Schizosaccharomyces pombe: one gene and its partners. The gene in region 2 interacts genetically with the main gene of each other region. Each region holds a gene or a part of one and is shown on either strand. Other genes may lie near its edges.

Region 1 (4,198 bases), on a different chromosome or scaffold from region 2:
CTTGGAGATTGGAGGAGCATATGCAGTTTAGTTGTCAACCATGTGAACGCCATCGTGATTTGGTAAAACCTCGACCTATTGAAGAAAAAAGAATTTTGAGTACACAAGATTTACAATCGGGATGGAAGTTCATTGATAATCAGATGTTTCTATCTACTCAAATTAACACATCTTCTTTAAGAGAGCCAAGCTGTGACGTGGAAATTCCTGCCCCTTTTTCCTTAAAAGTCTCTCATCATTTAATTTTTGAGACCATTGTTAATAGAAAAAAGAACGTTGCGGGAAACAATATGGGCAATGCCCGTATCTTACGAGTATCAGTCGTTCAGCCACTTACCACGCCAGCTGGTTTAGGTATTAGTTGGGATGAAGAATGCCCGCCAGTTTTTGAAAGTGTAGGACCCGCTCCGCCTGCCTATACCTAGAATATGTGGGTCGGATGTAACCGGAAGAGCTCGATCACCATCACATAACTATCAAAAAATGAACATGGCTCTTTTTATTTTTTAATTCACAAGTTTTATTAATTTAAGGGAACTATTTATAATATCTACATTCATCATTATCTGTTTATTTTTATATTTTAAACGTAAATGCATTGTATAGTAGTTGTCGCAATGACAATGAGTAATATGCCTTCGGCAAATGTCCATAAAAACTCTTCATTAAGATGATTAAAATTAAACCGTGAAATGGGTATATGAATTTCCAACAAAGAATACGAAAACGAAATTGATTGTTGAGAGTAAACTAGGGTGAAAAGATACAATTAAACGATAGACAAGTTATGCGTAGTTTTGCAATTAACGATAATTTAGGCTTATGGTGCCTAAGCTTATGGAATTGTTAAGGAGCGGTAGACGTTACTTGTACAAAAGATAGATGTTGTCCTGATAAAATAAATTGGAGCAGTTTTTTAAAGTTCCTGAGTATGTCCATGGATTGGTCAATAGGTAATCCAAAAGTTTCTAAAAAATCATTTACATCCTGGTTGAGAAGATAAATGGCATGTTCAAAAAGCTCAATTGGTCGAGTTGCTGGATAAAGGGGAAAGATACGCGTGGGGATGTCGGGTGTCAATGTATCCAGGATGGAGGATCTCGAAGATGCGCAAAGAATTGGATAAGCGAGTTCTTTTTCGAGATACTTTGAAAGAGTTTGAAGTAAATGCGCCAAAAATCCTATGGAAGCAGCCATTTCCACATTATTAATTTTATCTGGCTCAAAAGATAGGCGGAGATTGCGAATTGTAAACTCGTCATGATTGCCAGGCGATGGTTGGATTGGGTAAATTTTGGAAAGATGGGAAACGTGCATACGAATAGCATGTGCCATAAGGATTCGAATCTCTATATTGGTCTCTACTTTTGTTTTTAAAGAATTGGCAAGTTCCACATACTCAGCTTCATCTTTTTGAAGGGATTCTTTGGATTTGTTCAAAGTGTTCCTTTTTGAGGATAACCAGCTTTTCGTCTTGTCAAATTTCGTCCTCATCTGAGTGATGCTATTAATTTGTTTTTGCCAAAGATGTTCTAATTTAGCCAGTTCATCGATTTTTTCATCCCGAAGTAACATCCTTTTGTGCATCAAACGTATCTGCTGAAACTCCTCCTCCTGAAAATGAGCTCGAATTTCATGTTTAGCAATGTGCATTTCATCTATGCATTCAGCCAGTTTCAAAATTCGAGTGATTTTCTGAATAGTGTAACCATCCTTCCGCCTGTCTATAGAATATGTGGAGGCACTTTTTGGAAAGGAGGTCTGTCTCATAATATCCGAAGACTGGGATGTTGTGTAGATGTAAACGCCATCATTAAATTCACATAAAAGACCGTTTCGAATATGACAAACTGCAAAAACAGGCTACAAATAATATGTTAGTCAACACAAGGGAAACATAAGGTAAACCAAAAATATTCAACCGTACATCATTACCAATATAACGAAAATTACTGTCATATCTCAAAATTTTCCATTCTTTATGTAGCTTGAAGGCATGACTACTTGATGAGCACCAAGTCCTCACGATAAAGTACTCTTCGTGACGGTATTTTTGAAGCTTTTCGGTTACTTTTTCATCGACGTAAAAGATGTGATTCTAATGAGAGGTTAGACACAAAGAACATAAATACATACAAAATTTGTATATGGGTAAAAGAGATACAAGGTATAAACTATCAATTGAGGGCTTTGTTTCAAGGATTTGAGCAACGAAATTTTGGCAAATCACTTGTATAAACAAACTGATTAACCTTTTCAATCAAGCAAATAACCTAGATATAATGATACCATTCAGATACTTTTGTTTATCAAAGCATGTTCACATACAGCATTTCCGCTCGTTTCAGTAATATAAACAGGCAATTTCTTACTCTGCACATGCAATGATATAAAAATACGAATAGTTCCTTCGGAAATTGCACGTTTTAACTGCACATCTCGTTTCCACAAATTTTCCGTCGTATTGATCGCAAATTTGCTATGATTTTGAATTTCTTGAACATTTCTTATTTGTATTGATTTAAGCCTGGAAAGTCGGTAGTTTCCTGGTAATTCAAGCGACATTCTATCATGGTTAAAGCAATGAATGCTTTTGCTTCATCGCATCGCCCTACTTGGTAAACTCAGCTGAGTCTGGTGCTAGCGTAGGATAACAATATACTGGTTTAGTTCGTTATTGTCAGCAATACTACACTACGCAATGATACTCCACGTTGCATATCACTATATGTCACATGTTCACAATGTTCTATTTGCTCTATCAACTATTACATGATAAGTCATCAAGATGGAGATATAATATCATTCATGATAAGATAACTATCAGATATAATTCTTACTACTTCAAATATTATAAATTGAGAACAACTGAACCTCGTCCCTCAGTTCAGTTATAAGATATATTAGTGATAGGTAACATTATAACCTAGTTAATACAATACCTATACTCAGTTGCTACTCATACAACCTGTGTATTGTAATATAATAGATCACAAGGAAAACTCACCGCAGTTCTATGTATCCTTAAATCAGATACCAAACTGCGAAGCTAACATTATATGCACTTTATTGTCAGCAGCAAGACTTCACTAAGCCCTTTTGCGTGTCATTATATGCTACCATTAATTAATTGGATTATAATACTATACATAATATAATCGTTAAATGTATTTATATTAAATTATATTTAGATAATTCTGAAACTTTGCCGTAATATATCTTATTCTTAAAGCTGGCCACTGATCCTTTAGCTCAGAACTCATTCTTTAAGGAAATTTAGTGTCTTCCGTAATGGTTGAATGAATTTAAAAAGGTTCAATAAAATAATATAGCAGAAATTAACTGTAAAGAAATTTTTTAATTGATAACTGATGTGAGTTTGAATCAATGGCGAAAATTTTTTTTTTTAATTGCTTTATTACTGTCTTCGAAAATTGATGTACTATGGCCCAGATCATTATGAGCAAGAAGGTCTGAGCCAAAAAAAAAAAAAAAAAAAAAAAAAAAAAAAGAGTAAATCAAACATTATTACCAACAAAAAAGCACGCTTTCAGTTTTTACTATTCATTTGTCCGCTGAAGAAGCACAAAAAAAAATTTGATACTTTGTTTTTGAAAACAATTTAACCATATTTACAGTCAGCAAGAAATAAAACGCAGAAGAAGTAAGTGAAATAAAAAATAATTTAGAGCAATATTATAAGCAACCGAACAGAATTGCTATGATCAAAATGGTATTTAAGAAATTTAAACAAATTCAATAGTAAACGCTGTTACATGTTGCTAAAAACATTATCGGCCAAACCAGTAGAACTTCCAGAGTGAGCTTATTTTCCTTATTATAGGTTGGACTTGCTAATGTTGTTTAAATAATTTAACTATAGATATATTCTGTAAACAATCGAAGTGTCATCAAGCCCGTCCTGAAGAAACCCGATAAAAGATCTAAAAACACAAATTAATTTACAGTCACAATAAACAAATTAAATATTTTTTAGTATGCGGCGATAATTTTCGTTAAGAAAGGAACCAGTAACAGTGGGTATTGCATATGTGCATACAATTGGAATGTGGAGATGAAATGTAAATAAAATCTGCAAACATGATAAAATGAAACTTCAAGTTATTTTATAATTTAAATCCACTTTGATTTGACTTCCGTCTGATATGTCAAACGAGGCAGAATGAACATTTGCTTT
Region 2 (3,957 bases):
AATATTCTTTTTTCAAAAAACGAAACAGCTTGAAAGAAAGGCGTGGAAGGATCAGACATCAAAACAAGGAAAGGTCTTGATTCAATGGAGTGATTCAGTGGAGTTAAAGATAAGTCTTGTCCTGTCTTACCAATGATACCATAGGACAAAGCCTTACCAATATAAGAAGGATGTTCACCAGCAACACCGAGCCAAGGAGTTGCCAAAGTTACAAAAAACACAGGGTGAATAGCCTGAAAAAAGGCACCGTGCGTTTTTGCATGTACATAACCAACAGCATATGTTTGAACCAATCCACCAAGTGAGTGGGCGACAACTGATATATGGGAATATCGAGGAAAAGATGCACTTCCCCAGCCCGTAATATCCAACAGCCATTCACCAAGTCGTTTACCCAGCCAGCGAACCCCTTTCTCAGTCTGACAGTAGTTACCGGTAAATCCTCGAACAACTACTAGTTCCTTAACAGATTTTGATGATTCTATTAGTTTTTCTTTTAAATACTCCATATCAGCACCAACATTAGAATGCATTCCATGAGTTAGCACCACCAAATGTGAATTCTTTGAATGAAATGAAGAATACGGAAGACGCCATAAATTTTCCGGAGTTTGATGTTCAACGTGTAGAGCAGGGAATGCATGAAGAGTATCGATATCAGCAGCTGACATGGCTCGAATGGAATGTTGAGATTGCGATATAGCAAGCTCAAAGTTAATAGATCTATCTTTAAAAATCGCCTGACTTGCAATTTCAATGTAAATAGGCTGCTGATTGGAAAAACATGAATAAGGTACACAGACCCAAAAACTAGTAGAGGGCTGTACCTGAGGATCAAAGTTTAATAAAGAATTTTTTTCATCAAAAAATTGGTCATTCCAAACGCTAACGCATAATGTAAATGGACCTTGAAGATAGGCTGCCTGGCGGAAACGTGCTTCTCTATTCCTGACACGAATCCAAAGTACCGAGTTAGTCGAATTTATGAAGGGAGCTGTAGAGTCGCTTCCTGCCAAGGGATTTTTTACTTCACGAAGATTAATAGAAGAGAATGAAGTACCTACAGAAGGAGAAGAAGAGGTATGAGAGACACCTCTTGTTTGTTCAGGTATGTTGATTGCATTGGTATTATCTGTAAACGCACCAACTTTATGATAATCTTTTGAAGAAGATGAAAAATCGCTGGAAAGAAGAGGTGAGGATTCTGAATTTGCATGCTTCGGATTCGTGCTACTATTATTCTCTGAGATTTGCTTGCTGATATTCTCCCCACTAGAGATTGTCATCCCACCTGAACCTGCTCTATCCTCGATGCTACCACTCTCTTTCTTAGTCACTGAATTGAGGTTCACAGTGGGGGGCACAGTTGTAGAAGACGTTGCCGAATGCAAATTGCCCCCACTCTGCACAAAAATTCGAAATCGATGTATTTGACCTAAACCAACTGTACCATGCCAATGTTAGAACAAGTATTAAATATTTATATGCCATCCCAAAATTTTTGCATCGAAACAAGCATAACAAATCGAAACTTTAAATAACGAGCTGATAATATCAACTTGCAAATACAATTTAAAGGAGTGGTAAATTTTGTTTAAAGTAACTTACCGTCATCTCGTTGTACATATACATTCATAATGTCAGAAGTCAAGCGATGACAACTCAAAAACTAGTAAATCTGAAAATTAGCTATTCGTGAAAGGTGAGAGATATCAATTATTTTTCAATACCGGTCAACGAATAGGGATAAAATTTTATCTGTTTCAATTAGTAAATCGCTAGTTGCTCATATCACGTAAAAAGTAACGCGAATTTATCAGTGTCCTACCGGTAAAATTTGTTCGCTCGATTCCTTTGTTAGACTAGCTGTTCGACGAACCTATATAAACTCAGTTTTTCTAATTTTTGAGCAAAAGCAAAAATCGAACGACTTCACGGGAAATAAAGCAAGATGGTAAGAGATGCATAAAAAGCTTTCTTTAATGAAGAAGACACCAAAATTGAGTCCTTTGCTAACAATTAAAGTCGTATAATGGAATTGGATTACCCACTCCAAGAGGATCAGGAACAAATGGATACGTAATGCGGAATCTGTCTCACGTAAAAAAATATGACAAAAATACAAATCTACAGTCAAATCGAAATGCAAAAGCTCTGGAAAAACGGGTTCAAGATCCTTCAATAAGCGAGCATGAATGCCGTCGACAAATTGAGTCGAAGTTGTTGTTGTACAGAGAGCAGTTGTTGGAGGAGGTCAGTTCCCAACACAGCACTGATGCAGCGGCATCTGATTCCAATACAAATTTTGGGACTGAAAACCCGAAGCCACCTAAAGCAATTATAAAAGATGAGCAATCACAATCGAAAACTAAATCTTTAGATGAAGCTGATGTAGAAATTTTAGTACAAAAATATCGAGAACAGTTACTTAAAGAATTGCAATTACAAAAATCTACTGAAAAAGGAAAAAATTTTGAATCCATTCTTCAACCTCAGAAAAGAAAAGAAACAAGAGGATTTCACTCGAAAAATGACGATGATGGGCGATTAGAAGAAAGAGACGATTTGAGATCATCAGTTGACGATGATTATTATGATTACCCGCGTTATTCCGAGAGGAAATCATTAAATTCAAAAAGGCATGTGGACAATTACAATGAAAATAGAAGAAGACATTACGATTCGTATTCCTCCTACGATGAATTAGAAAGACGACGGAGTAGTAATGAAAGTTACTCAAGGCGTTCTGAATTACCCAGAAGAGATTATAATAGACACGATGAACGGGAAAGGTATTCTTATCATAGAAGGAGAGAAAGAAGCAATTCACCCTCCTATACGAAGAATGAGTCAATTCCTGTTGTGGACAGGGATTCCTCTCCTGAGGGTGGCGAAATTGTATGAGGCCCAAAGAGTTAGGCCAGTTAAAACAATAATATAATAGGCAATTCATGCAAGCATGTATTGTTTATTAATATTGGATAATTATTCGGGTCATCAACAATCGTTGGATTAATATGAATATTTGGTTAGCAATACACGTTAGTCAAATCCCATGAAGCACACGACTGTTCAATGATATAAAAAATATTATTCTTCAAAGAAAAAATACTATCGACTTTATATTAAGGCTGTTAAGTTGCACGATTTAAACATCATTTGATATTTTTCTTTTTCACGGAGGGATAATGAAGCAATTTTAAATTTACAATTACGCTTTTACATTTGTATTTTAAATTCATTAATTAAGCATAAAAGAATCTTTTTAATAAAGATTTTCGAGATTATTCACGCGATTTTAGTCAAAGTAGCTCTTGGCGGCTTTGTTTTCCTGCATACTGTAAATCTCAGAGCTTTTATACCAATAATGTTTATTATATATATTTTACAAAATGAACTTGCTTTAAAGCAATATTAATTATATAATAAAACCAATTTATAAAAAAAATTATAATATAAGTTTAATTATAAATAATACAATTTTTATTTTCTGATGATCTTCGGATCACTTTGGTCAAATTGAAACGATACAGAGAAGATTGTAAGTAACAATATTTACCAAGGTTCGAGTCATACTAACTCGTTGTTTAGAGCATGGCCCCTGCACAAGGATGACACTGCGACATTGAGAGAAAACCCATTTTTTTTTCTAAACAAAATTAATCATACATTCAAATCTTGATTTCCAATCGCTTTAACTTTTTTAAAATAAATATCTATTGTTTCATATAACTTTCAATTTCCTAGATACTACAGTACATTAAACACGTATTACAACTTCTTGCTAAGTCGCAAAGCATTAATTAATTAGTTTTCTGTAGATAATTGAAAAGAAAAAAAACATTTTTTCATCGAAATTTTTTATTGGACAGGTAAATATATTTAACGCGATTACTCTATCGAAATCTGAATTAAAAACTAGTTAAAAATTTTCGACTAGCTTGTTTGTTACTATCG
Region 3 (5,005 bases), 1.7 Mb from region 2:
ACCTTAATGGAATTAGAAATGCCCAAATATTACCTGCTAAACTGCAGCTGATGGAATGATAGAAATTTAAATGGAAAAGTCCAAGGGAACAAATAACCAAATTTATCCATCAACCTCCATGGTAGTAGATGTATCTCTAGGAAGTTGTTCAGTAAATTTTTCTGTAACCGCATCACAAAGGTCAATCAAATCATCGAGCCCTTTTCTTAAAACATCTACAGCGGTTGTTGAAGCTTGAATTCGTTAGTTGAGTTTGTCCCAAAATATTATTAATCAAATCTATAAGTTAATATTTCATTCAATCACTTACGTGCTGTCTGAATTCGAAAATTCATTTTTGCTTCAGATGGATGTGGGATGGAGTAACCGCAAAACTCAACCTCAGGACTGAAAACATTAGTGTTAATATATGTTTACAATTTAATATCAATTTACTTTTTCATAATGACATAGCGAAGAGAATTGCCTAGCGTATGGTCCTCTTTTTGAATTTGAAATGTCACAGATGTAAGATCAGCAGAATGACCAGGAAGCTATAACTTTAGTTAGCATATTAATTGAAGGAACAATGCTAAAGAAAATCAAATCCTTATGCCAAACACATACGATAATTATTTTTTCAGTTGCAGATTCCATAGCAACTGAGCTAGGATCTGTTACGTCTGTCATTGCCGCCATGTCTAAAGTTTATTTTATAAAAAAAAGAAAAGATACAGCGAAACTTCTATGCAAACAGCAATATTTGGCTCTTTACAAATTTTCTAACGCTGCTCAATTTCCAAAGGAAGAATCCGTATTTAGTGTAGGTTAACGCATATTTTTGCAGAGATTTTAGCGTATGATCCTGAAGCAACAAGAGGCTGCGTTAAATCGTTGACAGGTAAAAAATACAAGATTTTGTTGACGAGTCAATGAGTTTCAATTTTAAAGTATTTTATCAGTGTTTGCATTATTTAGTCAAATAACTGTAGTTAAGCCTATAGCTTTACAGAAATTTCATTGTCTTTAGACACTCACAAGTTATATGTTGACAAAAACCCCATACAAATGAGCAACTAATCATCAAACTTGATTGCTGCCGTGACTTTAGTATAAGCATTTATTATACAAAATGTTTACAAAACTATGATCAATTTTTTTTTGTAACACTATTACTGTTAAAAGAACCACTGGCTGTTTTGCATGTTGATTGTTTACTGTATAACTCTTAAGCCGAACCTATTGAAGTAAATATAAAACATATCATAAATGAGATTATTCCAAAGATATTTTTAACCATCATCGAATATGGCATTAGATAGAAGAGTGCAAGTACTAAAAATCTCATTGACATTTTTTTAAATAATATGCTGGGTTTTTATATGTGTTTGACATTTTAAATAATTGATTTTACGATACTAGCATCAATAAGATTTCCAGAAGATACATTTGATTGCCGGTTCTTCATTTTTTATTTTATTTATTTATTTTTTTTAAATCTATATTTTTGCGACAGCTATCATATAGCAATTGTTTCAATAAGCCATTTTTATTCAGCATAATCACAAATAAAAAACTTTCCAATAAAAAGTATAAATTTCCTCAATTTATAATTTATTATACTTCATCATTTCTAATTAAAGTACTTTAAAAGAAAGAATATATTCAGAAAATATCACTGTTAACTAAGTAAAATTAATATTTATTATTCGCCTCGCCAGTACTGGTAATTGGTAATTTAAAGTTAATGTGTCGTAAGAACCGTGTCCTAGTATTTAAAAATCATCTTCTTTGTTTGTTTGTTGCGTATTAATAGTTTTCTATTGAACTGAAACAATTTGAGAAGCACACTCGTTTGTAGCACAACTGTTCGCGGACGACACTACTTTTCAATAAATGTGCCAGATTGATTAATAGTTTCAAGTCTCTATTAAATGATCAATTCTTTGAAAAAGAAATTTAGTTTTCTTTCAATTATAAAGTATTTTGGTGAATTGCAACTAAATCGCTGCCTCACCTTTCATCTCCAACAAAGCCATAATCGCAATGAACCTTCAATTTCGGTTATATCTCTTATTTATTCTTCTATTTATATCATTTGCTAATGGTAAAAATGAGTATGAAGATAAATCTACTTCGATTATAGATTTACTGTCTTCAAAATCTCAGTTTTCAAAATTGATCAGACGGTTGCAACGCAATCGTCTGGTTCCTTATTTAAATCGAAACAAAGGACTTACACTTTTCGCGCCTTTAAATGAGGCTTTTCCTGATGATTCGATTGAGCCCAATTTGTTATATTATATCGTAAATACAACAGAACTTGATAGATCGGTGTTGCGTACTCAATTGAAAAGCTCAGACGGTCAGCAAATCGCTTTAAAAATTCATTACAAAGCAGAAACTGGTAGGGCATATGATAAAGTCAACAATGCACAAATAGTTCAATCGAATTGGCGTGCTGACAGCGGCGTCGTTCAAGTCATCGATAACATTATAGATCTTCCGCCTCCAGCCCTCGAAATATTAAGTTCTGAGAAAGATTTTTCAATTTTTCATCGTTTATCCGTCGCTTGGGTTGGTGAATATTCATCTGTTACTATGTTAGTTCCTGACTCGTCTGCCTTTTTAAACGTGTATACCAATACGGAATTGGCATATTTGTATTCAATGTATGCTGCTGAAGACGTTAAAACACTCATCCATCAACATATATTGGTTAATCAAAGGGTTTATGCTGAAGATGTTATAGAACCGAAGACTTTTCATTATAAAAATGGGATTTCCATCAGTATGAAGTTTGATAAGGACCAAAAAAAGTTGTTTATTAATGATGTTTCCACCACAAAATATGATTTATTGACTTTTAGTGGAGCAATTCATACTGTGTCTTCACTTATCAATCCCGAAATTATAAGTTTTACTCCTGCAAAATACCTAATAGGAATTGGGGCTGCTTGGTTTAGCGAGAAGCTTTCGAGAGAAAGGAAATCTATATCTGTTGATAAAACAAGCAAACGGGCAATTTTAGCTCCTACTAATTGGGCTTATCGAGAAATCATTGATATTGATTACCATATAATCGAAAATTTTGATCTACCAGCGCCTAATAAGTATGCATTGTATGTGACAAATATCAAATCTGGAAATTCTGTGGGTGAAGACACTAATGCTCTTGTCCGTATTGCTACTGGTTCTGCTGGAGAAATGTATGTTAATGTGGAGACGCGCAGTATTCAATCAGAAAATATTGGGAATGTTAGTCTATATGTTTTAGACAAAGATATAGAGCCTCCGCAACCATTACTTTCTCAGCTTATCCTTGTGGATGAAATATCTTTCAGTGTTCGGTACCTTGCCTCATTGGGTTTGGGTGATTATACCAAAGTGACCTGGTTTTTAGTAAAAAATAGTGCATGGACACAATTAGGTCTTGTTCATCTTGTTTTGCAACAAAATTTGGAATTGCTAGAAAGCGTCATGCTTGACTATGCATTTGAGGGGATAGCTTTCTATGGTTCAAGCGATGAGGCATGGGCCAGCGGGAACTATACTACACTTTCCAATAAAGAGTTTTTAATCGAAGGTGTATATGAAGACTCAAACTCACGTAACAAACGTGATTTATTGAGGATAAATAATGAAATTTATGAGGTTCAAACTCGGGACTTGTTAGTGAAAGATGGAGTGGTGCATTTAGTGGACAAGGTTAAATTACCATTTTCGGTTTCACAAAAGGACATGATTATTGCCGGAGGGAGAAAAGAGTTTTTGGAGCTTCTTGATAAGTTTGAAATGTTGGATATGTTAGACAGTGGGTATCCGGTTGTTGTTCCATCTTTAACAGGTTCTGATGTGAATACAAAAGACTCTAGTTTTGCAGAAAGGCATATAATTGATCCTGAAAAGCGCAATTTTGTAATTTCTGGTTCCCGGTTATCTGTGGATAGTAGTCCTTGGATAAGCATTCAGGATTACGGATATTCAGAACTTGGCAATGTATACTTTGTGCAAAACGCGATTCCGACTAAGAGGCAAAATCGTTGGAGAATAACTTTCATTTCTATTTCGGGACTATTACTGTCTGTTGGAATTTGTGTACTTTGTTATAAAATTTATTTTAAATTTTTCCGTAACAGATTTATGAATCAAGGGGAACGGGAGCCTTTGCTTGCTCCTGCAGATTCTGATACTATGGCGGGAAGACGAAATTCTTCGTCTTTATCCGTATAGAACTACAAATATAATGACCTATGTTTAAATTTCTTAACGTTCATTGTTGAAAAGATTATGCTAGTTTACATTTTTTTATGCTCAATTAATTTTATGTATTATGCTTTCGGAAAATGGTTCTACTCTTAGTATAATTACCATCTTTAAGTATTGGATATTTTTTTAACCTATCAAAAAAAGCCTTTCGTCTGTTTTTTGAAAGACAATGATTCTCATTCATTCGATAATTCTTACATCCTTTCAAATTTTCATTTAAATATTAATTAAAGTCCATCATTTTACGAGAGGGTTTGAAGAGTAGCTATGATAAACAATTGTGTGTAAACAAGCAAATGGAAGAATAAAAAATCGAGATGATAGCTTAAAGACTTCTTAATGACCGTTCAATGGCTACTATCATCTCCACATTAAGTATTAACTAACACTGTTAAATGCTCCAAATGGCACATCGTATTCTATTCTATAAATGTAAATTATTACCCTGAACAATATATATTACGTTATTTATTATAACGCAGTTCAAAACATCATAAGACTATTACCCTACCCTCAAAAAAGGACAGTCACAAATAGCACTTTGAGAACAACTAATTTTTACGAAACCAAACTTCTCCACAATGGCAGTTGGAAAAAACAAGAGACTCTCCAAAGGCAAGAAGGGAATTAAGAAGCGTGTCGTTGACCCCTTTTCCCGTAAGGAATGGTACGACATTAAAGCTCCCGCCTTCTTCGAAGTTAAGAACGTTGGAAAGACTCTTGTCAACCGCACAGCCGGTCTAAAGAATGCCAATGA

The links. A genetic interaction does not mean that the proteins touch.
Region 1: mutations in cwf21 (region 2) and vps38 together harm fitness more than expected from each alone (negative genetic interaction), as found in Schizosaccharomyces pombe (one large-scale study listed by BioGRID).
Region 3: mutations in cwf21 (region 2) and fsc1 together harm fitness more than expected from each alone (negative genetic interaction), as found in Schizosaccharomyces pombe (one large-scale study listed by BioGRID).

Annotation. Positions count from the first base shown.
Region 1 is NC_003423.3:1,804,629-1,808,826, reverse strand, and holds vps38 (phophatidylinositol 3-kinase complex subunit Vps38), read right to left. Parts: upstream 2,597-4,198; 5' UTR 2,566-2,596; coding exon 2,329-2,565; intron 2,099-2,328; coding exon 1,928-2,098; intron 1,864-1,927; coding exon 847-1,863; 3' UTR 510-846; downstream 1-509. Other genes in the region: arrestin-related substrate adaptor Any1, read left to right, coding at 1-425. UniProt on the Schizosaccharomyces pombe protein: Involved in endosome-to-Golgi retrograde transport as part of the vps34 PI3-kinase complex II. Mediates the interaction between atg6 and the pik3-ppk19 core complex, leading to the recruitment of atg6 to the membrane.
Region 2 is NC_003424.3:2,561,958-2,565,914, reverse strand, and holds cwf21 (protein Cwf21), read left to right. Parts: upstream 1-1,664; 5' UTR 1,665-1,951; coding exon 1,952-1,954; exon of another isoform or gene 1,955-2,025; coding exon 2,026-2,904; 3' UTR 2,905-3,438; downstream 3,439-3,957. Other genes in the region: rog1 (lipase), read right to left, coding at 1-1,444, 1,609-1,636. UniProt on the Schizosaccharomyces pombe protein: Involved in pre-mRNA splicing. May function at or prior to the first catalytic step of splicing at the catalytic center of the spliceosome. May do so by stabilizing the catalytic center or the position of the RNA substrate.
Region 3 is NC_003424.3:898,774-903,778, reverse strand, and holds fsc1 (fasciclin domain protein Fsc1), read left to right. Parts: upstream 1-2,008; 5' UTR 2,009-2,025; coding exon 2,026-4,212; 3' UTR 4,213-4,496; downstream 4,497-5,005. Other genes in the region: DNA-directed RNA polymerase I and III subunit Rpc19, read right to left, coding at 103-233, 311-387, 436-533, 607-678; rps102 (40S ribosomal protein eS1), read left to right, coding at 4,830-5,005. UniProt on the Schizosaccharomyces pombe protein: Required for the fusion of autophagosomes with the vacuole.